Drosophila melanogaster: one gene and its partners. The main gene of each other region encodes a partner of the protein of the gene in region 2 in a complex. Each region holds a gene or a part of one and is shown on either strand. Other genes may lie near its edges. The genes, in order: Tim17b1, ttm3 and Tim17a2.

Evidence for each region.
Region 1: ttm3 (region 2) and Tim17b1 share a complex: the UniProt entries of both Drosophila melanogaster proteins name them as parts of the TIM23 complex.
Region 3: ttm3 (region 2) and Tim17a2 share a complex: the UniProt entries of both Drosophila melanogaster proteins name them as parts of the TIM23 complex.

Annotation. Positions count from the first base shown.
Region 1 is NT_033777.3:5,295,854-5,304,842, reverse strand, and holds Tim17b1 (Tim17b1), read right to left. Parts: upstream 4,699-8,989; 5' UTR 4,652-4,698; coding exon 4,330-4,651; intron 4,139-4,329; coding exon 3,942-4,138; intron 3,876-3,941; coding exon 3,855-3,875; 3' UTR 3,657-3,854; downstream 1-3,656. Other genes in the region: mtd (mustard), read left to right, coding at 661-732, 5,270-5,373, 6,354-6,641, 8,208-8,696, 8,880-8,986. UniProt on the Drosophila melanogaster protein: Essential component of the TIM23 complex, a complex that mediates the translocation of transit peptide-containing proteins across the mitochondrial inner membrane.
Region 2 is NT_033779.5:22,075,676-22,084,828, reverse strand, and holds ttm3 (tiny tim 3), read right to left. Parts: upstream 5,198-9,153; 5' UTR 5,142-5,197; coding exon 4,110-5,141; 3' UTR 4,091-4,109; downstream 1-4,090. UniProt on the Drosophila melanogaster protein: Essential component of the TIM23 complex, a complex that mediates the translocation of transit peptide-containing proteins across the mitochondrial inner membrane.
Region 3 is NT_033777.3:5,255,206-5,267,440, forward strand, and holds Tim17a2 (Tim17a2), read right to left. Parts: upstream 7,488-12,235; 5' UTR 7,321-7,487; intron 3,955-7,320; 5' UTR 3,941-3,954; coding exon 3,266-3,940; 3' UTR 3,131-3,265; downstream 1-3,130. Other genes in the region: CG1113 (uncharacterized protein), read left to right, coding at 1-198; Enoph (Enolase-phosphatase), read right to left, coding at 257-414, 477-733, 1,043-1,398; Hph (HIF prolyl hydroxylase), read left to right, coding at 2,360-2,916, 11,548-11,827, 11,916-11,996, 12,058-12,197. UniProt on the Drosophila melanogaster protein: Essential component of the TIM23 complex, a complex that mediates the translocation of transit peptide-containing proteins across the mitochondrial inner membrane.

The DNA of each region.
Region 1 (8,989 bases), on a different chromosome or scaffold from region 2:
ATATTCGCACGTCGGGTTGGACATTGTTTTCAACGAGATTTCGAGTGCGTAGAATCAAACTGATAGTATCAACTGATTGCATATAAATGGTAATTCTTGAGAAGCACTTTAGTGAGCACTGATTCTTAGCAATTCTAACTTTTTAACTTTCCACGGAAAATACCAACTCAAGTAGCATGGTGTTGAAAACTTATGAAAAGGAAGAGAAATAAGGCAGGTGTGTTCCTCTATTCTCACTCATATATTTCCACGAACCCACTCGATTCGTTTCTGGACGTGACGATTCCAAAGCAATATCTACTATATACTTATATAGCACATATATCCATGAAACTATCCAGTGGCAGATGGATAGCTATTCGACAGGAGGGCTTGGGATTTTGATTGGGATCGGGATCGGGATCGTTGAGTTCCCAACGGTACGTGTGCATTCCGTAAATTGGCATTTGTTAAACCCGCGCGATTAGGCGAGATACACTTAACGAGTTTCGCTGCAGCGTGTATTTTGAATTTACCATTTCGTAATTACACATTTTTATTTACCTTATTGTTTCTCCGTTTATTTCTTTGGACCTCCCGTTTTGTTTTGGCACACTTTGCCGTTTAATTGGTTTTGTTCGCCTGCCCCGATGTGCTCCTTATGATTTGCGAACGTGCCAGGTCACGTAGGGCTAGTCAAGATGTTTCCAGTTTGTCACGCAGCGTTGACAATTTGGCGATACCCGTGCGCAGGTAAGTTGCAACTAACACCTAACTATTCCGCCTAAGTCCACCCAACTACCTCCCACCACCGCCTCCCTCACCAAAACACCCGTCCATTCAAATGCAAATGAGCCAGAGTACATAGCATGTGCATATGTACATATGTATTGTAGAAAGAGCCTGTGACGCACCTGCATGACATAACTATAAAGCCACCTTATGCTATGTGTATCTATGTATCTATGTTGCATGTTGTGCATGTGCATGGCCCGACTTAAGTCTAACCCACATTTGATAACCCATTCGTAGATCTAAGAAATAACGATAAATTTGACTTCCAGCGAATTGTGACCATAACCATTGCCGCATTAAATTATTTTTGCGGTCTGTAAATAAGCCGGGCAAAAAACTAAATCTAAATCGAAATCGAAAACGGCAGGCCGCAAATATTGATAATTTATAAGGCGAGAGCGACCAGTGTTCAAATTATAGATTGTTTATAGATTATCTTAATGTTCGCTGTCGTCTTATTAACGAATTCTGATAATATATAAGTCGCGTATAAGCGTAAATAAATGGCTGATGTTCAAGTGATGTCAGATTGATGTTCACAGATTAAATCGGCGGTTTGAGGGGTGTGAGATAAGGCAGTTTCGAAGGCAGTCGAAGTGAGAGTATGTGTTCCATTGTGATAATAAATAGATTTGCTAGGATGCGAATACTCCAGGCCTATCCCAAGAAGAGGTCGCAACCTTTTGGTGAGTCACGTGGAACATAAGAAAGTACAATCTCTTTATTTTCAATTTTACATATGCAATAATCACCAATATTGCACATTATGTGTGCGTGCATCGCACATTACGTATACGTAGCGAAAACTGAGTCACTCGCTCAGTTCACTTCGGCTTGTCTGCCATTCTGCCATTCTGCCATTCGATGCGTAATGTAAGCACTGTGGGTAACACCCCCGTGGGTTGTTGACACACAGTTGGCTCGGTGGAACTGTGCCAGTAAAATGCTACTGCTACTTTTGTTTTTTCGGTGCTCATGCCACTGATCGTAGCCCAGGGCCACATTCCCGAAGGTAAACAATGCACAAGAGCGATAAGATATTTGTATGTACCTATGTACGTATGAATGTACGTATGAGCCAGCGATCGAGCCCTGAATGACTTCCATTCGGCTTTCAATTGCTCAAGAGCCTCTGGCCAAATGTGACTCGTCGCATTGCGGATACTTCTGGAGATACTTGTGGTATGGAGAACATCAGGGGATTAGTAAGGGCAACTATATATACATATGATGAATAAGATGTTTCATTTTATCCTCTATTTTGTGTGTCCAACTGGTTAATGCGGAAGCGTGTCTATAGCAGTTAAACTACTGGCTGGCAATTAGTTACAGTGATTAGCACAGTTAGAGGTTGGGAATTGCTCAGTGACACAACATGAAAAAGATGTCTTAACCTATAATCATTCTTTACACTATACGAGTATAAGTATAAGATAGTCGCTGAAATATGAATAGTACATATTTGTTGAGAATTAGTTGTTGGAAAAAGAAGAAGCAATTTTAATCTGTTAGAAATGTTAGCTTATTCGAAATATTTGACCTTCTTGGCAGAAAAATAGAAGAATGCGAAAAATAAATTCACGGCCTCCGAACATAATATTTGTGTCATTTACAATTATTTAATAATTATTCATGTTTGCTTGCCGAACAAAGACAAAATATGTACCTATCCATTTCATTTGAGCGCGAAAGCCAACTGTGCAAATGGATTCCATTGCCATTTCGCCGTCTGAACTCAATAACTCGGAACGTGGTCGTCATCAAATGTGGCCAACTTAAATCAAACACAGTTGTTTCAACCAGGCTCTTGTTTTTGCAATGGTTTTCCACGCGAAAAGGCCTAGAAAACGGCGAGCACGAAAGGTTTTTTCAGCTGCGCAGCCAGGCACTTGAAGACTTTCCATGGAAAATTCTCATTGGCGAACGGGGGTAAATATGGCTATGAATTAAAAATGGGAAAGGCAAATAGCTGATGGCGACAAATATGCGTTAAATAATTATTTAGTATTTGCTGCCGCCGCTGTTTATTTGCGAACAAAGGCACTTTGCATGCGCCTGCTGCCAGCTGAAAACTCCAGTCCGCAATTATTCTACGCGCTCGCGTATTTATTTTTTATCATTGATATTCAATTATGGTTATCGCCAATTGCGCTAATTGGCAACGCAGTGAAAAGACACGCGCAAATAAACTTTTATTATTTTCAGGGGGAAGCCAAAGAGGGGTTCCTTGATCGACAGAAAGAGGCTTTCATATACTCAAGCTTATGAATAGCCCCCTCCTGACGATTCGGGTACTTGGTTGTCACATTCACATTGTCACGGTGATACAACTATCTGGGCAGAGGAAACCCTATTTTCCCGCCCGAAATCGTAACGGAAATTAGTTTTGCCAATCAAACGGGAACGCAATAATAGGGAAAACTGCTCTTATGTGAGTGCAGAAAGAGGAATGTAGTGCAGAAGAGATGTTTTAATAAAGATAAGCACTAGCAACCTTTTAAAAAAAAGGAACGATTCAAAGTGTAACTTAAGAAAATCTAATGATATATAGTAGAGTACCCTTGATTTAGCTAGTGAGAAACTTCAATATGTTGTTGGCATATCGATTGAAGTAGCAGACAAAAACAAAATAAATAAAATCCATTTGTCTGTTACACACTTTTCTAGGAATCTAGTAGAATCCACTGACTCCACGGGTGCAGAAACAAGCATTATAAAGTGGAATATTTAGGCTTAGATATATTAAGGTTCGAGTTTCTGGCTTGATCAAAGGAGTTTTGTAGGAGGAAACCCCAAATAAGTTTGGAATTTCAAGTATGGAGCTTTGAAGCACACGCGCCTCCCAAAAAGCCACCACACTTCGGCTGGACTTCAGACTGTCTATATAAATATGCCGAAGCAAAATATATTTATGATTCTAAAACTTGCACTGTACGACAATTGAATTTAAATTGAAATGGGAATGCCGCCAGTATCAGATTCGAACAATCAAAGCAATCTTTTATAAATTGGTATGCAATCGTCGATCCACGCGTTCGCGGATGGATAGCGACGACTAGGCGATGACGCAGCGAAGAATTCTACAATGCCGAAGAGTCAATCTGGAATTAAAGAGTGTGAGTGGCGGAATTATTGAGGCGTATTATTGCGCAGGGGATTTCACTTACCTCTCCATAAGTCGCTGCGAGTGGAGAAACGCCCTTTTGCTGCCGTAAAAGCTCCTGCTTATACCGTTGCTGCCGCTCCACGGGCGACACCTGGCGGTAGGAATCCGCCGAATAATGGGACACCACAATGCCCACGCCCTCTATTAGGGCCAATAGAGCCCCGCCCACCAAGGCACTACTGAGCATGGAGGTTAGTCCTGCCAAAAAGAGGAATAAGCAAAAAAGTAAATATTCGCATATTCGTGCGATAATAGCCATAAAGTTAAGCAGAAAGAAAAACAAGGCAAAAAGGATATAAGGATATAAAAGTCCTGAGAAAGCATTGAAAACCAGCCTGGTTTACTAATTGTTAATGCATTTGTCTGAAAAAAAAAACTTTAAAACTCACCAGTTCTAGCAGCAAGAATGCCCCCGGTGGTTGCTCCACTAATTATGGCGTTCCACGGGTCCTCCTTCTTCCGGAAGTAAACCAGTGAGCAGTCGATGGCGCTGAAGGTAGCGCCCCACACCGCAAAGTTACCACCCACCAGGCCGGATCGAGCCCGTACCGCCGCCAATCCTCCGCTCAATCGGTATCCCAGGCCGGAGGGGGCGTTTCGAAAGCCCTTGATCGCCTGGAAGGCTCCTCCGCCCAAGGCGCCCATTGCGAAGGCTCCACCACAATCCTCGACAATGCGAAAGGGACAAGGCTCCCGACCGTACTCCGCCATGTCAGTTGATTATCGGACTCAGGAGAGTTCAGTCGATAAAATTGATGGGGTGACAGACACACACAGCAGAATAGATGGACAAGTCAAAGCCTCCTTGAGAGCGATTTTCAATTCAAAGTTTCATTAAAAAACTTTTAAAGCAAATAGAAAAAATTACATTTTAAAATTAGAATCAGTAATTAGAAGCACTCGACACGTGTGTTATTCCTTACAAATTACTTATACTTCATACTTTTCCGATTTAATTCTATCGAACACCTAAGGACAAGTCACATGAAAATCGTGACTTCTCGCCAATTGTTTAAAGGCTGATCTAACAAAAAACAAAACAGATCAAAAACCGTTTAAAAAAACATTTAAAATGCGTCGTTTTGCCGTATTTGGACACTCGCTGATCGTCAAGATAATCATTACAAAACGATAGCAATTGCACAACAAAAAGGTTGAATAAAAAAGGCAAACGGGCTGCCAATAAATAAATTGTTATTACCCGGTTATGGTCACAATTCGAGCTGGAAATTTGTAAGTGATAAGGATCGCAACAGATTGCGCTCCGATCGCTACAAGCCCAAATATTCCATTCCCAACCGATTTACAACCACTCTCCCACTTTTCCAGGAGCAAATCGCGCAGCGTGGATCACGGCCTTGCGGCTCCATTCGACTTGGACTCGCTCCGCTCCAAAGTGGAGCAGCGCTTCGAGAGCGTCGACAAATTATCAAGTAAGTCACTATTCAAATAAGTATAATTTAATTAGACAGACTTAAACCGATGGAGAATCTTTGGTTAGGGCAGCAGATGGATGCAGAATTATATGAAAATCATTTTGTATTTCTCAAAACAAATACTTATTTCGGGAAGGATCCTTGCTGAACCCCGGCTTAAGCCCCCTGTATCCACTCACTTTCAATTAAAATAGTTCAATTTAAACTTATATGTAATATGAATGTAAAATTTGTGTAGAACTCGTAGGTTCCTCAAGTCAACGCTAGGGTATTCTGCCGCCAGGTGTCGCTCATGCTCACACTCTATGTAAAATCGATGTATTATTAGAAAAGTGTACATATTGAATCAAATCAGCTAGCAAAAAGGGTGTTTTTTTTTTTAATTCTACAGTATTCCGATTCCGATATATCAGAACAGATTGTACTTTGCGCGTTACATTCAATTTTAGTGCCTAAACCAGAGGCATTCTTAACATAATCATAAAATAATTTTCATTAAAAAAAAAAACATACTTACTTACTGGCATTAGTTTGAAGTTGATTCAGGGAATTGTGCGCCAACCGGGGGGTACCTATAAACAAATTCTTATCGCACCTCCCGTTTGAAAGTGCGCGCCAAAGCTAACAGCGCTGATAGTTGATTACATGTATGAATGTAATTGTGACAGTTCGAGAAAACTGATGAGCCCGCAGTTTTAACGATACAAAAAAACCGTATGATACAGGGCTAGAAATGGTGGAATTGATTGAGATATACTGGCACATGCCAACCAACGAGTTCTCGGTTATCTACCACTGCCGGCAGCAGGTTCCGCCCACAGGTGTGATCTGCTCGCACTTGCGACCCGATGGCGACTCTTTCGAGGTCTTCCAGCAGCGTGCCCCGAAGAAGCACGATCCTCCGAGTAAAGAACTGCGAGCACGTACCTCCAGCGATACGATGCCATTATTAATTATGATTTCTTTTCGTTCCGCAGGGCAAAAGTCTTCATTGCCCACCATACCCACCATTTCCTACACCGTGGGCAATCGCGACACCCTGACCTCCGTGGCCGCCCGGTTCGACACCACGCCCTCGGAGCTGACCCACCTCAACCGGCTGAACAGCTCCTTCATCTATCCGGGCCAGCAGCTGCTGGTGCCGGACAAGAGCGCCAAGGACGACGCCTCCAGCAGCTCCACCCACGACGCGGACGGTGCCAGCCTGTCCGGCAAATCGAGTCCGGTCGAGCGCAAGTTGTCCGGCGACGAGAGCCGCGAGAAAGGTAAGAACGGAAGCCAACCCAGGCGCTGCTCCGTGGAAATGGTGCAATTGGTGCGACGATAGTGAAGCGTTTGCCATCATCGCCGCTTGAGATTTTCATTTTCACGAGCTTTTTACATGCATGTGCCAACATTTTTTGAGAAACTCCGTATTGCGTTCTTCCATCGCTTTTTGGGTCGCATTTACTAGAGAAGTCCAAACATTTGCATACTATCATATATCCAGATGCGCAATTAACTGTACATATCGCTTATTTGATTTTAGTTTTTTTTTTAATTAGTTCTTCTTAATAATGTTTTGTTAGCAACTGCGAAAAGCGGCTATGTTTATTACATTGTAAAAACTAAACTAATTTGGAAAACTATTGAACATTTGAAGCCCTCAAAAATGTTTAGTATATAAATTGATATATAATTGCTATAATTACAAGAAGAAGTTAGTCTCAGGGCTAGCTTTAACTTTAAAGTAACTTTATTCAGCTATTTAATACAGAAAAGGTATGTGCATATGTTAATTGATTAATTTCAGATGGCAAATTAATGTTTGGCCACATTTTGTAATAACTTTAAGATTTTTGGCGCCACTTCTTCCACAAACAGCATTGCAGTTTCATGAATAACCTTACTTTAGACGAGAACTTTTTAGTATATTCCATTACTATGAGGTATATATAAACAACCGAGCTGCGGTCACACTGCTGGCCAATGTTGACTGTTTCATAGAACGTGTTTTTCCGCTGTTTCTCACTTTAAAAAGGCTATAAAATCGAATCGGTCGAGTGCCGAAAGCCACGTACTGAGAGCCGGATAATCCACGACGTAGAGTGCGCCCGGACGTACTCGATATTCTAAGTTTCAGCATGCACACGGCTGTCTTCTGGCGCAATGGAGGTTATTGTTTGATTTTCTACCTTTGTTGTCGCTCCGATCTGTGAAAAAGTGCTAATTGCGGTTGACAAACTCCTGGCCTTGAAGGTCCAGATATTCCGGAAAGTATAACCTTCGGTCAAGCAAGGGTCTCGTTGTCCATGTCCCAGGAAACCGAATCTCGGTTATGGATGATAAAGAAGTTGCACTAATAGATTCAAAAGGCATCATAACTATTGTAGTTTCGAGCTAGAAACTAGAAATTACACTGTTAAATTTAAAACTTACTACCACCCAGTTAGTCGGAACTATTAAAAAGCCCTTTTCGAAAGTCGTATAATGTATAACATTTCTTCCCATCCCATGACCCTATGCAAAAGCTACACCCTTTAGGCAATATCTTTACGACATCACCTTACACGCCGAACTACCTAGGAAAAGCGCTATAATGCCGTTCCCATTCACTGGTCGTAACACCTAGAACAACAAAGGGGGTCACAAGGCGTAGATTTAGTTTAAACTATCCCATATATCAATTTTGCTTTCACAATCTTATCGCGGCCACGGGTGTAGTTGATAAAATCACAGCCCAGCAAAATAGTACCCGAAAATCACTTGCCCCTAATATAATATAATAACTAAATGGCGTTTTTGCAGCCACCTAGCCAGCAAAGATATTAACCAAATGCCGCTCCTTGCAGACATACTCGAGGGCCTGCGCCCCGGATCCCCAAAACCGGGACACATCGAGCGCGTGGGCGGCAGTAGCCAGCAGCAGCAGGCGGAGGAGGAGGCCAACAAAAGCGACGATCCGGTGATCACACAGCGCTTCCTCAAGATCAATGTGCGCCACATCACGGACGGACAGGGCGTGGTGGGCGGCGTCCTGCTGGTCACGCCCAACGCCGTTATGTTCGATCCCAACGTCAGCGATCCCCTGGTCATCGAGCACGGCCCGGAGAGCTACGGCGTCATTGCGCCCATGGAGCTGGTGGTCAACGCCGCCATCTTCCACGACATTGCGCACATGCGAGTGGCCGGAGGAGCAGGTCAGGGCCTGAACTCCGCCTCGGGAGACGCGGAGAAACCGGAAATCTACTATCCCAAACCAGTATTAGTCGAAGAAGACTCCAAGGAGCTACCCGAGCAGCAGTCGCTGCTGGGCGAAGACGGTAATAAGCGCTTAGATGGTAAGTTCCTCGACGGGTCATTCCTGAAATCAAGTTTCTGTAACTCCTACATAAAATCGTTGAAGATGATTAACTGCTTAGCTTGCCTAAGATCGTTCGGAAGCAGAAGTATAGAAACAGTGATAAAATTTCCTTTTTCAGAAGAAATTCGCTTACTAATGCTATTTTCTTATCTAACAACAGCAGAAATAGGGTCGCTGGAAATCGCTGACGACCAAGAGTCGCTTTGCTCCAGCACTGGACGCGATGGCGACGCGTTTCCCAAAGCCTTCGACCGCGAACGTGTGGAGGTA
Region 2 (9,153 bases):
ATCGTCGGTGGCTTTCGTCTTTAGCTCCCTAGGGTAGCGCGGTGCCAAAGTCTCCGCACGCAATCCATTATTGTATTAATTAACAGGAACAGGATCACCAATCAGGCGCTTGATTAATGATGTCACTCGGCATCGTAAATTTCGATTTGAACATGTGCAAATTTAGCGATGAAAATAAATGGGACTGAATGCAACGACGAGTCCACCGATTCCGCCCTCTACTCCTACAACCCTTGTTGTCATTTTCGCCTTGGCGTATGCTTTGTGTTTGAACATAATCATACGTTAGGCCGACAACTGTAAGGCACACGAAGGGGCAGGATGTGGTGGTCCAAGTGGCTGTTGGCCATCCTTTCGGTGGTGCACCATTTTGGGGCAACAGGAGGAGGGGGCGGATGCATTAGGAGGATGTGATTGTGTTGCTTTTTGCAGCCGCCTGTTGATTCATGTGGTGGTCGATTAAATCCAATTCTCGTATTGCTTGACCAGTAACCAACCATAGAATAAGAGCCAAATTGGGGGAACCGGATTAATCGAAATGCAGTAACTAGATGTCTTAGGTCCTGTTCGGAATAAGTAAACTTAAATGATGAACTTATTCATTTCCGGGCACACGGAACATTAAGGTTTTATCAAGAGGGGGTCTGAACCCTTTAAAAAAATGTTGACCGCGCCCACTGTATCGACGTCAAACCGTGCTTAGTTCTGAACTAATTTTGATTATTACTATGAAAACCAATAAAATCATCAGAAAACAAACTTTCGGCGCGTCAATGTCTATGAAGCCTGATCACTAAATCTTAACGGTCTATCTTTTATTCATAGCTCCTGAGATCGAGGCGCTTATGCGGACATACTGAGAGACGCCCATGGCCCGATCGACACAGCTAGTGATTATGATCAGGAATATATATGTATATTTATAGGGTCGGAAACGATTCCTTCTACCTGTTACATACGCTTTTACTCTACGAGTACGAGTAGAAATTCCAATCTGTGTAATTCATTCTAAAAAGACAGGCCATGCGTTTTATGGGCATATTTCGAAAATAAGTTAATCACACACAAGCGAAAACTGCAAGCAGACGCATGCATGGTCGACATTTTACAATTTTCATTTTCAAATATATTTTGGCTTACAAACCAAAATGGTCAAAGGACAAACTGGGAATGCAGTGTGTTAAATGAGAACGAGGTGGAAGCCGCAGGTACTTCTAAACTCGTGTAGTTGCCATTATAAATGGCTGCGTACTTCATTTCGGCCAAAATAATAACATGAGTAATTAATTTAATGCACCATCCGCAACCCCCACGAACAATATTTCTGCTTTGGTAGTGTACGGTAGGGTGGTGGGGGGGTGTTGTTTCGTGGAGGGAGGGGGCTGCAAAGGCAAATTTTAGTGCTTAGGATAAATAAATTGCGTAACAAATGAACCAATGTTTATTGCGATTGTTGCGTAAATTGCAGTGCATTGACAATGCCAAAATCTATGTTGCGCCGGCTGCACTCAAAATCTGGCAAATGGTTGAAAATATTTCGGTCGCGGTGCAGCCGCAGCCCCCAAATCTGCCCTATTGTACACCTATCTATGTGGCCAATTTTAAATGGAATGCGTAATTAATCGCAAAGCATTCTGGTACCGTTTAAACTCCGGTCTTCTCCGCCTCAAATCGAAAAAAAAGTCGAGCTCGCCGCTGTTGGATTTTTATGGCCCCATTTATTATATACGTTTCTCGTAGATTAAAGAGTACACCAGGTTCGTCAAAAAATATATAACAGGTAAATGGATGCGTTCCCCACCTTATTCTTGATCAGGATCACCAGGCGAATCGACCTAGACATGTCCACATTCCGTAGCCCATACGTTTGAACTTGTTCTTTGATTTAATCATTTGCATAGACGATTCCGATCGATATCTTGAAAATATTTATATATATTTACATATCTAGGAAAAATCCACAAACAGCCCAATACTGTCACACGCGCACTAAAACATGTTTTGTCTTTAATTGTAGTGTTTTTAATTATAAATTTTATTTTTTTCTTGAATTTCTTGAATTTCTGTTGATATGCCGAACGACTCACTTGTACTCCCGCAATCTGAGTAACGGGTATCTAATAGTCGAGAAAGTATTCACTTTGTTTTGTTATTTTTACCGGTCCCGAATGTCCCTTCACATTAATGCGTGCCTAGTTTATGGTGCGTGAATAAATGGATGGGTGCAGCAAACCATTCGTTTACCTTTTTGATTGTCGCATCCTGCGAAAGGATTAAATGGTTAAATAAATAAGTAAATTTTGTCGTTAGCGTAATATTTATAACCGTTACTGGTAGAGAAAAGGGTATGCTAGATTCGTTGAAAAGTATCAATTTTAATTTGATGTCCATTTGATGTGCTTTGGCAACAACTTTTATTTAATTTTTCTATTTCGCATATATCTACTAGTAACAACCATTAATTGTAGTGGGTGTGGCAACGTTCATTAGACCCTATATGCCTAATCTTAACTTCTTAGTTCTTATAGTTCCCTAGATACGAACGGGCAGACAGACATAGCCGGATCGAAGTGGTACTGTTTCTGATTAAAAATTACATCCTTTTCAACGAATTATGTATACTCTGCGGATTAATAATCTCCTGTTGTCTGGTACCTCCGGGTTAAAAGTTCGCTGTTGCTGTCGGCCAAAAATGTATATTATCTATAATGTTAGATATTTCTGGATCGCCGAGATCCGAACACTAAAATGGATGGTCGTTGGTTATTTATGCCACAGCACCTTGCATCTGGTCTGCTTATGGAACAACACCCCGCCCCCCCCCACCACTGCTGACGACAGCGTTCTTTAAGAGTCCGAATCCTGTATGGAATGGCGGATGTACGTTGCTGTTTGGGACGGGTTGGCGCCCCAACACTCGCCAACACTTTAGGGTGCAAATTTATGACCGCTTTTTTCAGCTGCAGGTATGCGCTTTTCCGGCCAAGTACTTAATTGATGTTGCGTCGCGTAAATTATGAACAAAACAAAAATTAAAGTGGACTCCATGCTGCTCCTTGGCTTTGTCGCTGGTGCTGCCGGTGGCGGAAATGCTTTCATAGCAAATGGTGGTGGCGGCGGTCCCATAAAATAACAACGCACCACCGAAGAGGCGACCACATACGTATACAAGCGTACATCCCATTCCGGCTTTGCCAACGGTAGTCAAGAGACTAAGCAGGCTGCTGCGGGGTCAAGCACAAAAGTGGTGCTCTACTCTCCGGATGTCCATCTGACTCCTACAGCGCTAAACCCTTTCCACCTGGTTCAGTTCGCATAAATTTTAAACTTTTTGCATCGTAAAGTGCCTCGAAAAGGATAGTATGGGCAGCAACAGTGCGATCGGGCGACCCCTCTGGGTGTCCCTTTGTTACCTAACATGTGTTTCATTACCGCTTACCAGTTTAATAAAATAATCTGGACACATGGCAGTCAAGCCTTTCAATAATAATTACAATATAGATTTTTTAGATGTTTTTGATATAATGCGCTTCACGGGTAATTATATCTGCGACCCTCAAGGATTTCTTTCAATATATTTATCTCTACAGAGCTCTTCATCTCCATAAAAATTATCTCATGCCGTACTTTCGAGTTAAGCCGCTGCGCCAATGTCCCTAGAATCTGTATGCTGAACCTTCTAGCTTTTATAGTTCCGGAGATCTCGACGTTCATACGGACAGGCGGACAGGCGGACATGACTAGATTGACTCGGCTATTGATCCTTATGAAGAATATATATACTTTATATAGTCGAAAATGCTTCCTTCTCCCTGTTACATACTTTTCAACAAATCTAGTATACCCTTTTACTCAACCTGTAATGGGTATAATTGTGTTTAGCTTGGCAGTAAATCTAGTAGACCAATTTAAACTTCGGTAACGGATATAAAAATCGAAACCTCTGTGGTTGTCGAACTGCCAAAACAATGAAAATAATTAAAACAAATAATAAAATGTAAAAAAGGTAAACAATTTTGAACATTTAAATTACTAGATTAATGACTAGATTTTTTAGTTTCCAAGATCAAGACGTTACTACAATAGATATAAGGTGCATAAACGAAAATTTATTTGATTGAAGACCCTCGAAGGGAGCGTCCCAATAAAGTTAAGTTCCACTGACGTTCACTAGTTGGTAAATTCTGAATGCTTTCCTGACTCTGCTCCTGCAGTCGACGTTGGTTGTCCTTAAACTGTTCCATGGGGTCCTCGAATTGGCGATAGTATCGCAGCACCTCCCTTACATCATTTACTTGGTGTTCGGCAATCAACTGCAGGAAAGCCGTGAGATCAAAGAGCTGGACATCATCATCGTTACCCAGCCACTTTGTGAGCACCAAGCTATTATCGGGATGCAGGGGAGTGGTATACGGATCACAGTCCACCACTATCACACGGCTCAGATCCCTGTTAAGATAATCGAGGTTCTTGGTATGCTGACCCTCTACCAAGTCCGTGGCACCTCTTACTAGCCGATATTTTATGTAGCCATAGGGATCTAAAGCATCCAGAAGGGGGAATGCGGTCATACCTTGTTCAGAAGTATATATCACAATTTCAAAATTTCGACTGCACTGCTGAAGAAAGTAATCCACACCAGGCCGCTTTTTAAACCGCCACCCCGTCTGATAAGTCCAATCTGGATGCACCAGTACGTCTTTGATTTCCAGCACCAGTGAATAGGGAGGTTGTATATACGGCGGTGGGACAACATTTGGCAGCAGCCTTGCCATCTGGGGCTCTTCCATCATTTTTTCATAATACTGAAGTGTGTGCCACATCCTCATTATGTACTGGCGGAACCAGGGAAGCTGACTGAACTCATCTTCTATGGGACCCCGATGGTCTTCCTCGGGCTTGCCCAGCTTATAGATGGCCCACATGACTATACTGAAGAGACTCCCCAACACAACACTGTAGGTATAGAAATTCTTGATTCTTCTTAACTTTGGTGGTGAATAGTTTTTGTCGCATCTCTGTACTGTTTTTCTAGCTGAATTCAGGCATATTTTCTCGCATGGACTCAGAAGACAGGTCTTCTTTTTACCGATGTAGCCAATCGACTTATTTAAAGTTCCAAACCAAACAATTTTATGCATTTGAGCTAGACGTTATTTTTTATTGACTTAAGACACTAAGCACTAAACACCGAATCTAACAACTTGTATATACCCAAAGTAAATACCCTCGTGGTAATTATATATTTAATAAAAACAAGAGGAAACGTTACAGTCAAACATTATTTTAGCATAGAAAAAAAAAACATCACGCAAGGGTAAAAAGTAGTGACGATCCCAACCAGAAACTATAGTTAGAATTTAAACAATTTAAATATATACATATATTTAAATATATTTTATTTAAATTCGACACTTTTTATCAAAATATTTGTTGCTCTCCGTTGAAGAAAGAAACTTCCGCTGCGTCTATGACGTGGACATGATCTAAACTTTCTAGCATTTATTGTTTCTGACATTTAGACGTTCAAACGAACAGACAGCCGGGCAGACATACTGACAGATATGCATGGCCAGAATTCCCGTCGACTTAAAAAATCTTCGGAAGAACGATCAAACCCCCTCAGAAGAGCCCATCGCAGCCCTCTCTTTCCTTGTCGTTGCGATTGAGCGGTCGATGGAACGTAGGTGGGACCATTTATCCTAGGGCCAAAATTAATGTTACCTTGGACTAGACGCATACAAAATTTTTGCTGACTTTGTTACCTTTTGACTACGAAAATTGGAAGGACGGTTGCCGGCCCTCTAATAAAAGCAGCTGTTAGCCCGATTAATACGTACGTAATATGCTGTTTGATTATAATTACCGTATCCAACGCTTTATTCGTCACTTGCTTTTTACTTCGTAAAGAGGTGTTTTCTTTTGATTTACCAAATATGAACAGCACTCACATCCCTTTTGAATATATAATTACTAATTTGACTTAATCGTAAATCGGAACGTACATACATAAGCAGCTCAGGTGGACGCAGGACACCAGGTAGAGGAGCTGGTCGCAATCAAGCAATGCCAGTTCAGATAGTCGATTTGTCATAAACAATCGAAATCCATTTAAAATTGTACATGCAATTCCGCAAGAGCCCAATTGAGAGACAGAGAGAGAGAGAGAGAGAGAGCGACAGAAGCTGCCAGATGCCGACACAGTCAACACCTCGTAAAGTGCGATGGGCGCTGGAAGTTTGGGCTGGTTCACTTGTCAGCCAATGTGCCACGTCCTGGCGTGTCCTGCGCTTTCGAGTGTGGCTCAGTGTGTGTTTCTGCCCATTTACCGAGACCTGTGCCTGTGTATCGTTGATATGATAATTGGCATGAGGTAATAATCCACTTGGAAACGTTGGCAATCGTTTGTATCGCAATCACTGTCAAGCCGCCTGCGTCTGCTGCTCCCTTGTGCTGGTATCCAGTGTCCTGGCGCCATAAAGTATAATTTTCCCAACCGTGTTCTCGTTGACTATTCGGCTCCTGGTGTTCCTGCTGGTCCTTTCGTCTCTTCCGCCATTGAACGGGCGACATATTAAATAACAATGAACTGCAATTGCCCAACGAGTCTCGTAATTCGTTTGTAATGCGTGCAGACGCACAGATTTTAAGCAGTCAGCAGGCACATGTCCTTCTGGAACTACAGTTCCACTTCCATTGCCATTTCCCCATCTTTCCTGCATCCCCATTCGCTGGTACCGCCTTTTTCTGCCGCCTGCAATACCCACTTCATTGTCATTGCCTTCGTCTATGTGCTATACTGGCTTTTGTCCTTCTCATGGTTCATAATTTCTGATTTCCTAGTTCAGCTCGTTAGCCAGTTAAATTTAATCACTTTTCAAAATTGGTTCGGTCTGCTGGAGTATTTAAATCGGTTCCGCAATTTATGCGAAAATGAGTGCTACTCAAATGTTGTGGAAAAGACAGACTAGCTCAATAAAGTCCAATAAAAAGGATTACGTTTACTAGTAATCAGTAGAGGCGTCTAGCTTCAAACCATTTAGACAAATTGGCTGCTTAAGAGTTATTTGAATAAGCGAAAACTGTTTCTGGTCGCGGTTGTACATGTACAAATACAGTGCCGCTCAACTGAATAGGTTTGACTATTTGTTTAGGTTTGAAACGTTGTAACTTAGTTATATGCAATCCGATTTAAGCGAAATAAATTTGTATGTATGAATAGATCAGTCGTGTCTTAAATCTTAAAAAGTTTCTGATCCCCTAAATTTGTTTTATATCATTTTTATTTTTTTTTTTCAAAAACATAAAAAATTCTCATTTTTTGGCTCAACTTTTTTTCTTAATTTCTGTTATTTATTATAAATTTGCCAACTCCGCTTTAGTAGTGTGCAATCCCGGATGCAGTGCCTTTCTTAATTGCACATCTCACCCACATACTCAGGGACATTATCTGGGTAACTGGGATCTGATATTCAATATTTTGTTCAGCAGTCATTTGACAGCACATCACAGTTCTGTATTAAACTTTTACATTTTGAAGCCAGTGCAAAGGGCCTTACTGATTTCAGTCACTTTGAGAATATATATTCTTGATCAGTGCTTGATCAACAGCCAAGTGCAAAAAACCATCCCAAAAGTCAAATATAGCCGGATTTTTTTAGTGTAAACGAAACGGCCGGACCTCTATATGGCGGCGAAATGCTTGTATTTTATTGAGGCGAACTAATGCCACGTCAGTGGACTAAGGACAACGCTAAGATTAAAAATGAACGGAAAATAGTTTTCTCGTCTCTATTCTTTTGTAGGGGTACTATATATCCTCTTATCTAAATAAAACACAAACGCAGGAGTTGGCCTCTTTGGTTTATTTGATACTTCACGTGTTTAGCTTTAGCATTCGACTGACTCCCTCTCCGTTTGCGATCTGCCTCTATGCTTGTTGCTATGCCACCCGAAAGCGAACAATGACTGAATGTTTATATACTATGTTGCTATTATGAACTGATATTATGTATGTGTACCTCAAGCCTACTACACTTTTGATCTCAGCTTAAGACTAAATTTTTGTGAAAATTGCTGATTATGTGAATATGGGACATTGGTTGTATTGGGACATTGGTTGTATACAAGAGTGGATTCTGTTCTTATTCTTATTTCTTTCTTTTTATTTCTTTGGTCAGTGCTCATTATGTAAATAGTAAGTGCAAGTCTTGGGATAAAAATAATGAAAAAAAACACCATGAATTGAGTTCCACGACTATTAGATACTCTTTACTCAGCTAGTGGAAATTCGAACGAGAAATTGTATAATTTTTCTGGGATATCGACAGATATTGGGGAACAAAAAAAATTTGGCTTTTTGTGAGAATCAAAATGAAAAAATTTTAACAAATTTTTAAAATGTGTGGCAGTTTTATGCGGTTTGTGGGCGTTAGAGTGAGCATCGCAATTTTTTTTTGTGGAAAATTGATAAAAATTTACAAGATTACTAAAAAATGAAAAAAATTTCGAAAGGTGCGGGCAAAAAGGTGTTGGATGGATTTTGAGCATTAGAGTGTTACATACTTTTCAACGAATCTAGTATACCCTTCTTTATGTCTTTAGTGGGTACTACAATTCTTCTATAACTTCTATACCTGAAAATATTTTGTTGTTTACCCACCTCAGGGTCTGTCATCGCATAAATGGGGACTCGGTTTGGAAAGATTTGGAAAAGGACTCCTATTTCAAGTCTCTTGTGTCCCGTAGCAAATCTACTCTATGGCTATGGCTTTCGTGTTCGGCATTGTCGAGAGCTGCGCAAACGGTGTGAATTGCGTATGGCCGACGCCTAAGCCGCCATGGCTACTGATGCTGCCTGCTTGTGCGAGTTAAATGTTTAACAGCCAGGTGCTTTACGTCGGCCCTCAAGTAATCGTGGTCCCCACGAATAAGTAACTTTTGATTTAAATTTTAGATTTTTGAGTCAGAGTTCCCACAGCAACAGTCAATACTTTCGGGAGGAAGTGTAAATCCATAAAAGAACCGAAGACACCGTACAAACAGAACTTCTGCTTATCAGTAGTCAAAGAGGTCTTGCAGTATTTTCTCCGGAGACTCGCAAACCCAGGTTGCGTGACTAATCCGAGTGCGGTATCCTTCCCTCCATCCACT
Region 3 (12,235 bases), on a different chromosome or scaffold from region 2:
AAAAAGTCAGAGTTTCCTGTTCCCGATGCGGATACTAAGCTGCAGCAACTGCGTAAGGTCTATGGCTCAGAAAAGTCCTGTTCGAGGCAGTCTCAACGAAGCAAGCGGTCCGAACGACGGCCGCAGGGGCTCACGACCGAGACGCCCAGCCACGACAGCGGTGACGACCTGTGCAGCGCAGATCGAGCTTTCCTCTAGAGATTCACCTAATTCCCAAGCACATAGTCACAATATATGTATACTTTTTTGGAATGACCTAAGCCTGGGATTTATTGACCGGAACTTTCAGGTTGTGAAGTGGTTTAAAGTCCGGAATCAACTCGAATCCAGTTTTTTGATCGTCTGCTAGGGCGGCGTTTCCAGGACGCTTCAGAATTATGGCTTGCAAGCCCGCACAGCGAGCGGCGGCCGCTTCTAAAATATAATTTCACATTAAAAATGTTACGGATGAGGATTCGTGTGGATCAGCCACTCACCTCCTGGAATATCCGTGAGAAAGAGTATCTGCTTCGGGTCCTCCTTCAATTGCTTGGCAATGTTTTTATAGGACTGCTGTTCCTGTTTGTGGCCCACATGGGTGTCGAAATAAGCACTCAAGTACGGCTGCAGGTTCCCGGCCAAACTATGACCGAATATCAGCTTTTGGGCAGCCACACTGCCGCTGGAGTAGACTGCAATCTGGAGGCCAGCAGCACGCCAAGCCTCAAAAGCTGCAGGGACGTCTTCGTATACACTATAATAACATTTATAGATAATTAATTAATTATCAATAATAATGAGTTGTTGCGTTGTACTTTTGGTTACTATGTTGAATGTTATCTGATAACTATTGAAATCAGCAAAAGTTAAACATTCCCGTGCGGAGAATATAGCTAGCATACATATTTAAAAAATCACCAAGCTGTATAATTGGATCTCAGAAAGACACCCAAATTATTTTTGGGAACAGACGTTAAGTAAGCCTTTTCTTTGATAACCTTCTAGAGTTCAGATTGTAAAACTTATATGGCCATGATAGGAGAATATTGAATGGGGAACTTACTGGCCCTTCAGCTCTCCATTAGCGTAGCCCTGCGCCCAAATCAAGCCCTGCAGCGTTTTCATTGGCGTGACCTTCAGATCCTGATCAATTAAATAGCGCACAAAGCCTGCAATCAGATCTACATCCACTTCCGTAGGTGGACCACTTAACAGGGCCTTGTAGTCCGCATACTGGGGCACTTGCTGTAGATCCTGGACAATACGCTTTATATCATCTTCTTCCCACGAATCCCTCAGGAACTTTTCCACATTCTGCTTGGCGTAGGGAAACAGGACATCGTGCACAAAGCTAATCGAAGTGGTGGTGCCCTCGATGTCCACCAGCACCACTTTGGCCACTCGTTCACTGGACGACATTGCGCTTATTAGTGGGATTAAGTTATCACGAGGAACCAGTTGATTTTCCGCCCAGCATCTGTTTAGTTTTGATAATGGAGATGGCACATCGCGCTATCGACTATCGACTTTAAAATATATATATATAAATGTATTGGAATAGACGATAAGGGTATTTGCCATTCTTAGAGACCTTGCTTAATTGATAAACGATCGACTGAAGTTGTATTAAAGTAATTCTTATGGGGTTAATGGCCGCTTTGAGTTAATTTTCCCAATAGCTTTTTGTTTCCGAATCTTGTGCAATTAAATATTAAAGCTAGTAAATAAAAATAGCGAAATAAAAAGCTTTGATTACCGTTAGTATATAAGTGCCAGTATAAAATAATCACCACTAACGTTGGCTCGTTCAGCTATCGATACCTACTGCCCGCCGGTAATAGTGCTGTACAACGAGTACATGTCAATCGCTGCACGCTAAGTATCGGTCGACGCCCATCGCTATCAAAAAGAAATTTTAGTGCTGAGTTAAGAATTTTTCCCTTTTTTTGCACAGTTTACGCGGTTTTTATAAACAAGGGGCGTAATAGAGCTCAAGGCAGGGTATAAAACAGTCAATAGGGTTAAAAGTTGCAACCCTAAAACGTCTTACAAAAGAGAATACTCGCAGGAAAAACCAACAACAATGCACATATAGCTGCCCGTGCGTCTGTGTGTGTGCGTTGTATGTGCGTTTTTTTTTGTTTATTTGGCAAATTCGGTGGCCTACGTGATTAAAATAAGCACAAACAGTCTTAAGTGAAATGTTGGCTAAAACGCCCGAGTGCCGTAATTCGCATTGATAACAAATAGCCATAATCTGCGAGCGTGTGTGTGTGTGATTGCCTCAGTTGGCGTAGGTGAGGTGGGGTAAAAAAAGCTGGGAGAGCTGTCAAGGTTAAAATCGGTCGTCGCCTTTGGCTCTCCTCTCCCGCAAAATGCAATGAGCAGGGGTCGCGGAAAGGTCAGGGATTCAGCAAGCCATTCCGGCTCCCACTCCGCATCCAAATCGGCCATGGACCCGCCGCGCTGCTCCATCTGCGGCACTCAGCAGCAACTACTGCGCTGCGCCAAGTGCAAGGCCGTCTACTACTGCTCCCCCGCCCACCAGCATCTCCATTGGCCCGACCACCGCACCGAGTGCCGCCTCCTGACCCGCCAAAAGCTCAACAGCAGCAACAACAATAAGCAGCAGCAGCGGCAGCAGATCCAGCAACTGCAACAAGCTGTGGCATCTGCCAATCTGGAATGCAGCGGCGCCGGCGCCAACTGCTCCACCGCCCAGATGATGACGCCTGCCCACCAGGCGCAGAGTTGGCCCGCCGAGGTAGACAACCTGCTGAATCTCCTCGGGCAGCCGGGCAGCCAGGAGAAGGCTGCAGCTGCGGAAACGGAAACAGGTCAAAGGCAGCAGCAGCACCAGCATCATCACCATAATGGCGAAAAGAGCTCCAGCTATCAAATCGGTCTGGCGGATGCCAGCTTCATGGGATCAGGAAGGTAGGTCGTCAGTGGACAGGTCAGATGTTTCAGTTTCAACAGTTTTATGCTAAAACATAAGTTAAAAATGTATAATACTATAATACTGCTCATGGTGGCACGCTAGAAGAGATATATTTTTCTTAGAAGCTCTTTTGAGCCTGCATAGTGCCATAGTATTTTATTAGATGCAATCAAATATCAGCTGATCTTTTATTGAAGATGGAAAAATATTCTCCATGAGATAGAAAATCATTCCTTGTACCTACTGGGCTTTTAAAAATAATATAAGATTAACGCTGAATATCGAATTAACACTTAATTTGGAAGAAGCATGGGAGGTTGACTTAAAACCTTAAAAGCTTTTCTATCAGACAATTTCGGCCAGCTTTACCAGATCGACCAACGAGTGCATTGGCTTCATCAGTTGCCCCAGTTCCTTACCCTCCACTGCGTCCGAACGCATAGGCTGCTGCATCTTGTTGTGTGCCCTGTATGCCCGACATTCATCCAACACCCGCTCTAACTCCGCCCCAGTTAGGTTCGAATCAGCAACGGATGTCTCCCACTGGGGTCTCTGCATTTGCTGGTCAACAGTGATTAGGGACTCCTCTGCTTTGACTCCTCCATCCGATGCATAAATCGTAGCCACTGCTGCTCCAGCTCCTTCGAGCATGGCTAAAACGAGGCAGCCCACAAAGGCACTGTTGGCCATGGCTCGAATTCCATTCCGGGCGGCTAAAATTCCGCCAGTGGCCGCTCCGCTGACAATCGCGTTCCAGGAATCCTCCCTCTGGCGGTACGAGACCATGACGCAGTCCACCGTGCTGAAGGTGGCGCCCCAAATGGCAAAGCTGCCGGCTATGGCCGGTGTCCGCAACCTCACCGATTCTATACCGCCGTGCAAGCCACGTCGAAGACCGGACGGAGCGTTTCGGAATCCCTTGAGGTACTGAAACAACGATCCTCCCATGGTGCCCATCATAAAGGCGCACCCGCAATCCTCTACAATCCTGATGGGACACGGCTGGCGATTGTACTCCATGTTCGGGTGATGTACTGACCAAAAGAATCCGTAATTAATTCAAAACTTGATTTGTAGTGAACTTTCCTTGTTTTGCGAATATGTGCTATCAGCTTTTGACCAATATGGCCTTTGATTAAAAACGTGTGTTTATAGATTATACATAACTTTGAGAATGTTGCCTTACGACTTTTACGTCCGTTCTAACTAGATACAAATATTTACCAATGGTCCTACAAACGAAATATACAGTTTGTCAAGAAACTGTTTACACACTGTGAAATAAGTTGAATTTTTGACTTTAAAGCTAAAAATTAAAGGTTTTTTGCTTAATTAAACGCATTTTTTTTATAAAATATAATTAAACAATATTTATTTTACTTATAAATCAAAAAACAAATTAAAAATATTAAATATACAAGAAAAAAAACAACAAATTCCAAGTTTAAACACTTTTGAGACTGTCAAGAAACTCTTTACACAAAACACTAAATCGATGTTTAATCCTAAATTTTTAAATTATTTTATTAAAATTTTAAAAGTTTTGGTATGTAGTATGTTCCCCATTGGCTTTAGCTACAAGTTGAAGCCCTTTTTTCATGGATTGGACAAGTTTTTGCAGGTCATATTCAAACGGGATCTTTTCACACTCTTCGACTATTACAGTCATAAGCTGTTGTTGTGTTTTAGGTTCCTTTTTGCCACCTTCTTCTTTAAGTAGGTCCACAAATTTTCAATGGGGTTCAGATCAGGACTCTGAGGGGGCGTATCGATCACTTTACCACAGTTATAAGGGCGCCAGGTGCGTACATTGCACTCTTTATGTTTCTGATCATGTCCTCTTAAAATATAAAATTTGGCTTGTTGTTGCTAACTAGATCAAATTTTTCTGCACTGGCCTTCAAATTTGTTTTTTAAAATTCCTAGATATTGCACGGCAATTATTGTGCCCTCAATTAAGGCTAGTTTTCCCACTCTACGGCTGGTGATACAGCCCCAAACCAACAGTGACATTTTTCCAAATTTTATCGTTGGAATGATATTTTGTTTTTCTAGCGCACTCAACGGTTTGCGCCATACTCTGCTTGGCCCGTCGTTATAAAAGAGCATCATTTTTGTTTCGTCACCAAATATGACGTCATCCCAGTACTCTTCCGCATGATCCATCATGCTCACTGCGAATAAATGACGCTTTTCAATATTGGCATCTGATAGCAAAGGGTTTTTCCTTGCAACTCTTGAAGAGTACCTATGGCGTAGGATGACTTGGCGCACAGTTTCGTGTGACACAGCTAGGTGACATTCTTGCCTGATATCTAGAGCAAGTGATCTGACCGAGATTCGGGGGTTCGCAATCACTATTCGCATAATAAAGCAGTCTACACGCTTTTTAATTTTAATTTTCCGCCCACCACCACTCTTAGGTTCAAGCCTGCCCTCTTTTTCCGAGCCTTTTAAAACATTGTAGACGGTCTTACGGGATACAGGAAACATTTATACTAATTCTGGAAAAGATTTTTCCAACTGGTGGTTATAGTTTATTAATTGGGTAACTTCAAAAGTTAATCTCTTTCCAGGCATTTTATTAAATTTAATAATTCGCTTTAAGCACGTTTGATCAGCAAAATTTCACAAGCAAAGTCAACAAATTTCAATAGAAGCGTTGTAAAAAGCAATGCAAAGCCAAAAATAACGGAAAAATCGAGTTCGTTCTAAGAAAAAGAACAAAACAAAGTAGGAAAACAAAATGTGTAAAGAGTTTCTTGACAGTCTTAAAAGTGTGTAAACTTGGAATTCGTTGTTTATTTTCTTGTATATTTAATATTTTGAATTTGTTTTTTGATTTATAAATAAAATAAATATTGTTTAATTATATTATTTAAAAAAATTTCGTTTAATTAAGCAAAAAACCCTTAATTTTTAGCTTTAAAGTCAAAAATTCAACTTATTTCACAGTGTGTAAACAGTTTCTTGACAACGTACATAGATCGAGCAAAAACTTGTACAAGAAAAATGCCACTCAGATATTGATGAGTTATTTTCAATATCTTATTGAAAACATCCAAATGACTCGGTAGAATAGATTTTCTACGTTTTGGTGCAAGCTTATCTTGAATTTGATTAGCCATGATTTCACCTGATAACTAGTTATTAAATGTAACTGAACCAAGCACCGCGATTAGCTAGCCGACCGCACACTTGAAGTTGCGTTTGCAGTTTGTCCCGGAGCGAAATCTATAGCCCCAAATATACCCCACTAGGTGCATCCTCCTGCTCGTAGCCCCCTATCGTCTTCACTTGCACATCAAGTCAATTACGATAAGCGGTTACGTGCCCACTCCTGAGAAGCCTCACGAATCAACAGCAGAACATGACACAGCTGATGACATATCGCTCATATGGCGCTGAAGTTTATGGTTTTCGCGATCCTCAAGCTTCTTCGCAGCTGATTTATTGGTTGTTGATATACAGCTTATACTAGTTACCTCGCAAAAGGTCCTATAACACAAATCAAAACATTGAATAGCACTGCTAGATCATCTTAGATCGCTTGGGTGAATTAGTATAATTGTATTAGCCAAACCATGGCTCATTTTGGAACTGCTGCTGTTAAAGTATACACAAATCATATGATATAATATTACAGGTGTTCAAGGTAAAGCTTCCAATCCAATGGGGAACCAGGAAAGGACTCTTTAGGAGACAAACACTTGGTGTTGGTTTTAGATTGATGTCTGCACGTACTACATAGGCTGTCCGATATTCTCAGACGTAAAAGTTTAAAAATAGAAACAGTTTGTTTTCCCATTCAACTCATCGCATTGTCAGATGAGATTCGTAATTGCCCTGCGATTTGACTGTCTCCGGATTGCTAACATTCTGCTCCGAGATGGCACCTCTCGAGTCGAGTATTTATTTACCTTCGGCATTACGTGCCCGGCCGCATAGTGTATATGGCACCCATGCCCGATCTGATAGCACCTGCAATCGCAGCCGGACTCGCATTCTTCCGGGCGGAGGTGCTGACTTTGTAATTATTCTGTTGCGCAGTTTGTTGCGTCCAAATCTTTAATACTCGCTTATTTATTTTGCTTTGCACCCCGGCATTAACGAATACAACAAACATGAACCGCACACATCGGAGCACATATAGAAATTTGTTCGTAATTTTATCTTTCAGCCAATCCGGCTGAGTCATCATCAACCCCACACTGTGCAGTAAATTATTTTGTGTTCCTGGATGTGCAGTTGTAGCTAATAAGTGCAACATATGAACTAATTCAGATAACTTCCCACCCGATAGTTATGATATTTTCTTTTTACTTGGATACACAAATAAAAGCCTTCATTTTTCTATGTTACTGTTGCAAATCGATTTTGTCAGGTGCAGTATTTTCTACCTTCTTATCGCCCGAAGTGGGTGGGTGGTCCGTTCGGCCGGGAGGTCCGGAGCGTTTTGCCTACGTGCCGGGAATACGCAAGCGTATCGTTCAAATCGTGTTATCAGAGTTTAGCGAATGCCTTAGCTCCGAGATTTCAATCTGCGGCGGGATGTGTTGTTCTTTATCAAACAATTAGCGCAGTCGGACCGACGTGATCTCATTTCCAGGGGCTTGCAAAATTCCGTCATTGTTTAGAAATGTGCTAAAATACATGTGTCAAGCAACTTGCTGGGAAAAACAAACAATACGGTTGCGCAAAACTCGATGAACAGAAAAAGTCGAAAAAACCGCATCTTGTCGCCACCGAATTCCAATTTGAATCAGCAATATTGATAGGAAAAGTCAATATGGAATCAATCCATTCGCGGATAGTTTGCTCTGCTACTTTTTGATTTGCCTAAGATTCAGCCAGAATGCATTCACCTTAGCGTTGCTCACCTCATTTTTTTTCATTTCCGAACTTGAATGTCTAAATGTAGTTTTGAAAGCAGAGAAAGTGCTTTCCAGTTTAAATCAAATAAAGTTTATTTAGATCGAATATCTTGCGATGTGAACTATGCAACCATTGGAAACATTAGAAATATAAAACTATTGCAATGGTATTTAGTTTAAAAATATTCGTAAATTTCCTAGGGATTTCCTTAAAGGTTCCCCTTTTCTATTTATGTTATCCACTTCCAATTGGGTGTAAACCCATGTCTGTGGTCTCCTTCAGCTGTGTGATGGATTCCCAGTGATGGATCTCGAACCCAGTGCGAGCCCGAGCGAGCTACGTAGGCAGACGCACGTCACCAAGGTCGACTGCCACTCAGTGCGTGTGCGTCGCCACGCCCCTCTCCCAGGTGCTTCTCCGCCCACCAAAAGGGCTGCGAGTTGGTGTGGTACACGTGCCGCAGTCGCCGTTGTCGCACGTAATACATCACAGACAAAAAGGGCGCCAATCGATCATTACAATGTACACGAAAACGTGTTTGCACTAAAAGAAATCAGTTCAGTTTAGTGGCCATTTTGCTTCGAAACTGGGTTGTGTGGGACTTATTATTATTGTTAGCCCAAGGGTATTACCAAATAATAAATAATGTATAGACAGGACAGAAGATAGAATAATCTTTATTCCTATTCCATAAGATACTTTTGATATTTTTCGTTACCAATTTTATGACTGATTTATTTATTATATATATATATTATATTATTATATATATTATATATCTTGGTTACAGAATGTTGGGCAGATTTCTGGGATATTTCTTTATTTTAATGGCGCTTTAAAAGGTCTCCCCGATTTCTCTGCGTGCACGTTGTTTGGCGGCGACTTTGAACTGGGCCGTTGACCCAATTCTTTGGTTCGCACATTCGCCTAGCTTCCGCGTGCTTCCGCCGTTCTGTGCCTCATCTTCGTTAGTGTTTCTTAAGCATTTTTAGCAGATATTTGTATCAAACATTTTAAATATCTACATTATCGCTGACCTTCTCACACTCCCTTCGCTGGCGACCATCTCTTTCTGACTCACTTGGCTCTCGCATTAACGCCTGTGCGTGTGGCTTCTTTGCGTTTGTATGGGTCGCTCGCATGTGCGTGTGCCAATTGCGCATTGGTGTGTGTGCTGGGCTACGTGACGATTGTTGCGCTTGTCTTTCTGCCTTACTGTTTGCCTCCGCTTTTCCCCGCTTTTACGTTTGCAATTGGTTTGGCTTGGCAGAGAGTGTTTAAACTCTCTTGAAGGGCAAGCGGAACGAGTAGCTTCCTCCCGCTTTCTGGAACCTTGCGGGGTATCCGATCCCATAAATTGCACGTTCAGTTCGGTTTTTCGCTATCTGCAGCTGCCTTTTACCTTTTACCAATATGTACGTATTTTTCATTATTTGCTCTCACCTACCAAGGTGCTGCTTATCGCCTTAAGCGGCTGCTTCTCCTTCGATTATTTAGCTGCTTCCCAGGCCCCCAACTTTCTGATTTACTCGTAGTTTCATGGACGCTCTGAGATAGTGATGAACGGATTTGGGAGGCGGACAGAAAATAGCTAGAAAAATTTGGTTACAGCAAACGAACTACAATTTGTAGTCCAAACTAAACCTTTTCTACGATCTTGATGTTATCGTATTAAACGATTGTATTCCGAATCCGGGATAGACGTACAGTTCACCTTAGCCAATTTTGAACTGGGGTTTAAATGCCTCAAGTATTGCTCGTAGATGTCCATTTAATTTATAAACGTTAACACATGTTCGACTAACACACCAGAATTCGAGCACTCATAATCTAGTTTTTGGCCATAAAATAGCTAGATTGTTTTCACCTGCTCTTAAAACGCTCTGCCTCTCTCTCCTTCGTAACCAACGGTAAAGAGCGAGAGCGACCTGCTCAGCTGCCGCATTCGGAAAACGAACGGCGACGAGTGCGGTTCGGTTCAGCTGCTTCACATTTCACTTAAATTAGTTAACCGAAGCTGAGTAATACACAAACGTGACTAACTGTGCATAAACAAAGTCAAATCAAAACAAACATCTGCCAGTGAAACAAAGCGAAAAGTGAAATATATAGGCAGCCGGCCCCAACAAATGCAAACTGCAATAATACGTACCTCCCCACCAACACATTTGCACCTATATACCATATAATATAACCGCCGGTGTACGTATAACTCGCACTCTTTCCCTCTAAAATTCGAGGCTCCCCTTCGCATAAAACTCGCTGCAAATTATAAACTCCCTTCAGTTGCACGTGAAATTCTGGAGGAGTCGTTTGAGAACCCGTCATCTCCCAAGAACAGTAATTAACCAATTCAGGGTATCTAAAAAAGGATCCTGAAACAATTCAAATGCCAAGAACTTAATTCACCCTTTCTCTGCACAACAACAACTAATAACTCTGTGGAGATACAAAGATAGGACTTCAGTCTTAAAGCTGTCTCAAGAGTAATAGAGTTCTTGTGATAACAGTGAGAAGCAAGCTGACTAATCAAGGCAAAATGATAACCTCCACGACCACGGACTACAAAAACTTTTTTAAACACTCGGCACATCCTGCCAATGCTGAGCAGTACTTTCGGGAACTTTTGGACAAGCGGTAATGATATTTTAATTACTGAATTAAAGTTCCTAAGGAACAAATGTAAAATGAGGCTATAATTAAGGAAACCTCCTAAGGAGAGAATTAAGAGTGTCCACATGACAGTGAAGGATATAAATATTTATTGCCCTTAGGTATCTAATCTAATTTCCCCGAATTAACTTTAAGTTTCAATTTTAAAAAGAGTTTTTAAGCTAAGGGGCTTTTGAAAACGATGTTGCTATTACAATACAAATCTCATTCTACTTTTTAAAATTCCTTTAAACTTTTTCAACAATGAACATCATTTTAGGTGTTGGATTCGTTTTTTTAGAATAGTTGTTTCTCGGGCTGAGTATTAACTATTTTCTCTTCTGGATTTCACACCTCTTATAATCTGTTAATTATGGTTTGCATTAACTTGGGCTATGCGAATGTCAATAAAACCGGTTAACAGTTTTGGTTTGTGGTCGTCAATGTCGTCTTTCGTGTATCGTAATATTTAGACAGCCGCTGATTTTGAATTCGTATATTAATGTGTTGGCGGTAGCGAATTTGCTTTCCTGCGTTGCGTGCAGATAGTTCTCCCCATCCCATTCTGGGAATTCGATCAACAGCGTGGCACGTTTCAGTAATATTTGTATTTTTGCGACAACCATTTGACTTTATGACTTTGAATGGCGCATGTGAACTTGTGCGAAATGTTTCATCTCTGTTTCATATTTTTCGCAATGTGTTGCTTTGCGTTGCTTATCCGGAATTTCGCGATCATCTGGGCCAGTTGAGTTCTGGGTGGCCTACGTGACTGGGAACCACCGACATGTATGAAAATATTTGTTTTATGGGCGCATCATAAAAAAGTCGTAAAATTGTATGCATCGCAGTACCCGTTGCTCAAACGCCTGTAAAAAAGCTTAAGCGCAATCGAACTTTTGTGCTAAAAATAGCAAGGAAAAGCGTGAACATTAATTAGATGCAGGGGTTTCCCCAAGGTGACCTCACTCACATCGGTATCTCTAATTCAGTTACAGATTAACGGTCTTGAAAGGTCTATATACTTTTTCTCTTCGTCTCTCTACTAAAAGGGAACGTAATTAACATAAGATCTTTGTTTCCCTTCTGATTTTCCGCAGTGAGCGCCGCTATGAGGATCTGTGCCGTAACATCATCAGCGACATGAACCAGTATGGTCTGTCCGTGGTGGACGACTTCCTGGGGATGGAGACGGGCCTGAAGATCCTCAACGAGGTTCGAAGCATGTACAACGCAGGAGCCTTCCAGGATGGCCAAGTGGTGACCAACCAGACGCCCGATGCACCCGCGGTGCGCGGTGACAAGATCCGAGGCGATAAGATCAAGTGGGTTGGTGGCAATGAGCCGGGCTGCAGCAATGTCTGGTATCTGACCAATCAGGTGAGCAACGTACAAAAGAAATACTTTTATGGTCCCTAAACTACTTGCTTACTTAAGTTAAGAAGTATAATCTAATTTTACCTTTCAGATTGACTCTGTGGTGTATCGTGTTAACACGATGAAGGATAATGGCATCTTGGGCAACTACCACATCAGGGAGCGCACGAGGGTAAGCATATGCTGTGAAAATACCTTTGAGATTATGCTAAAATATGATTCCTTAATCTTAGGCAATGGTCGCTTGTTATCCGGGATCGGGAACTCACTACGTCATGCATGTGGACAATCCCCAAAAGGATGGCCGCGTTATAACGGCCATATACTACCTGAATATCAACTGGGATGCGCGGGAAAGTGGCGGCATTCTGCGGTAGGTGTAATAAATATACCTGTGATATGAAAATCAAC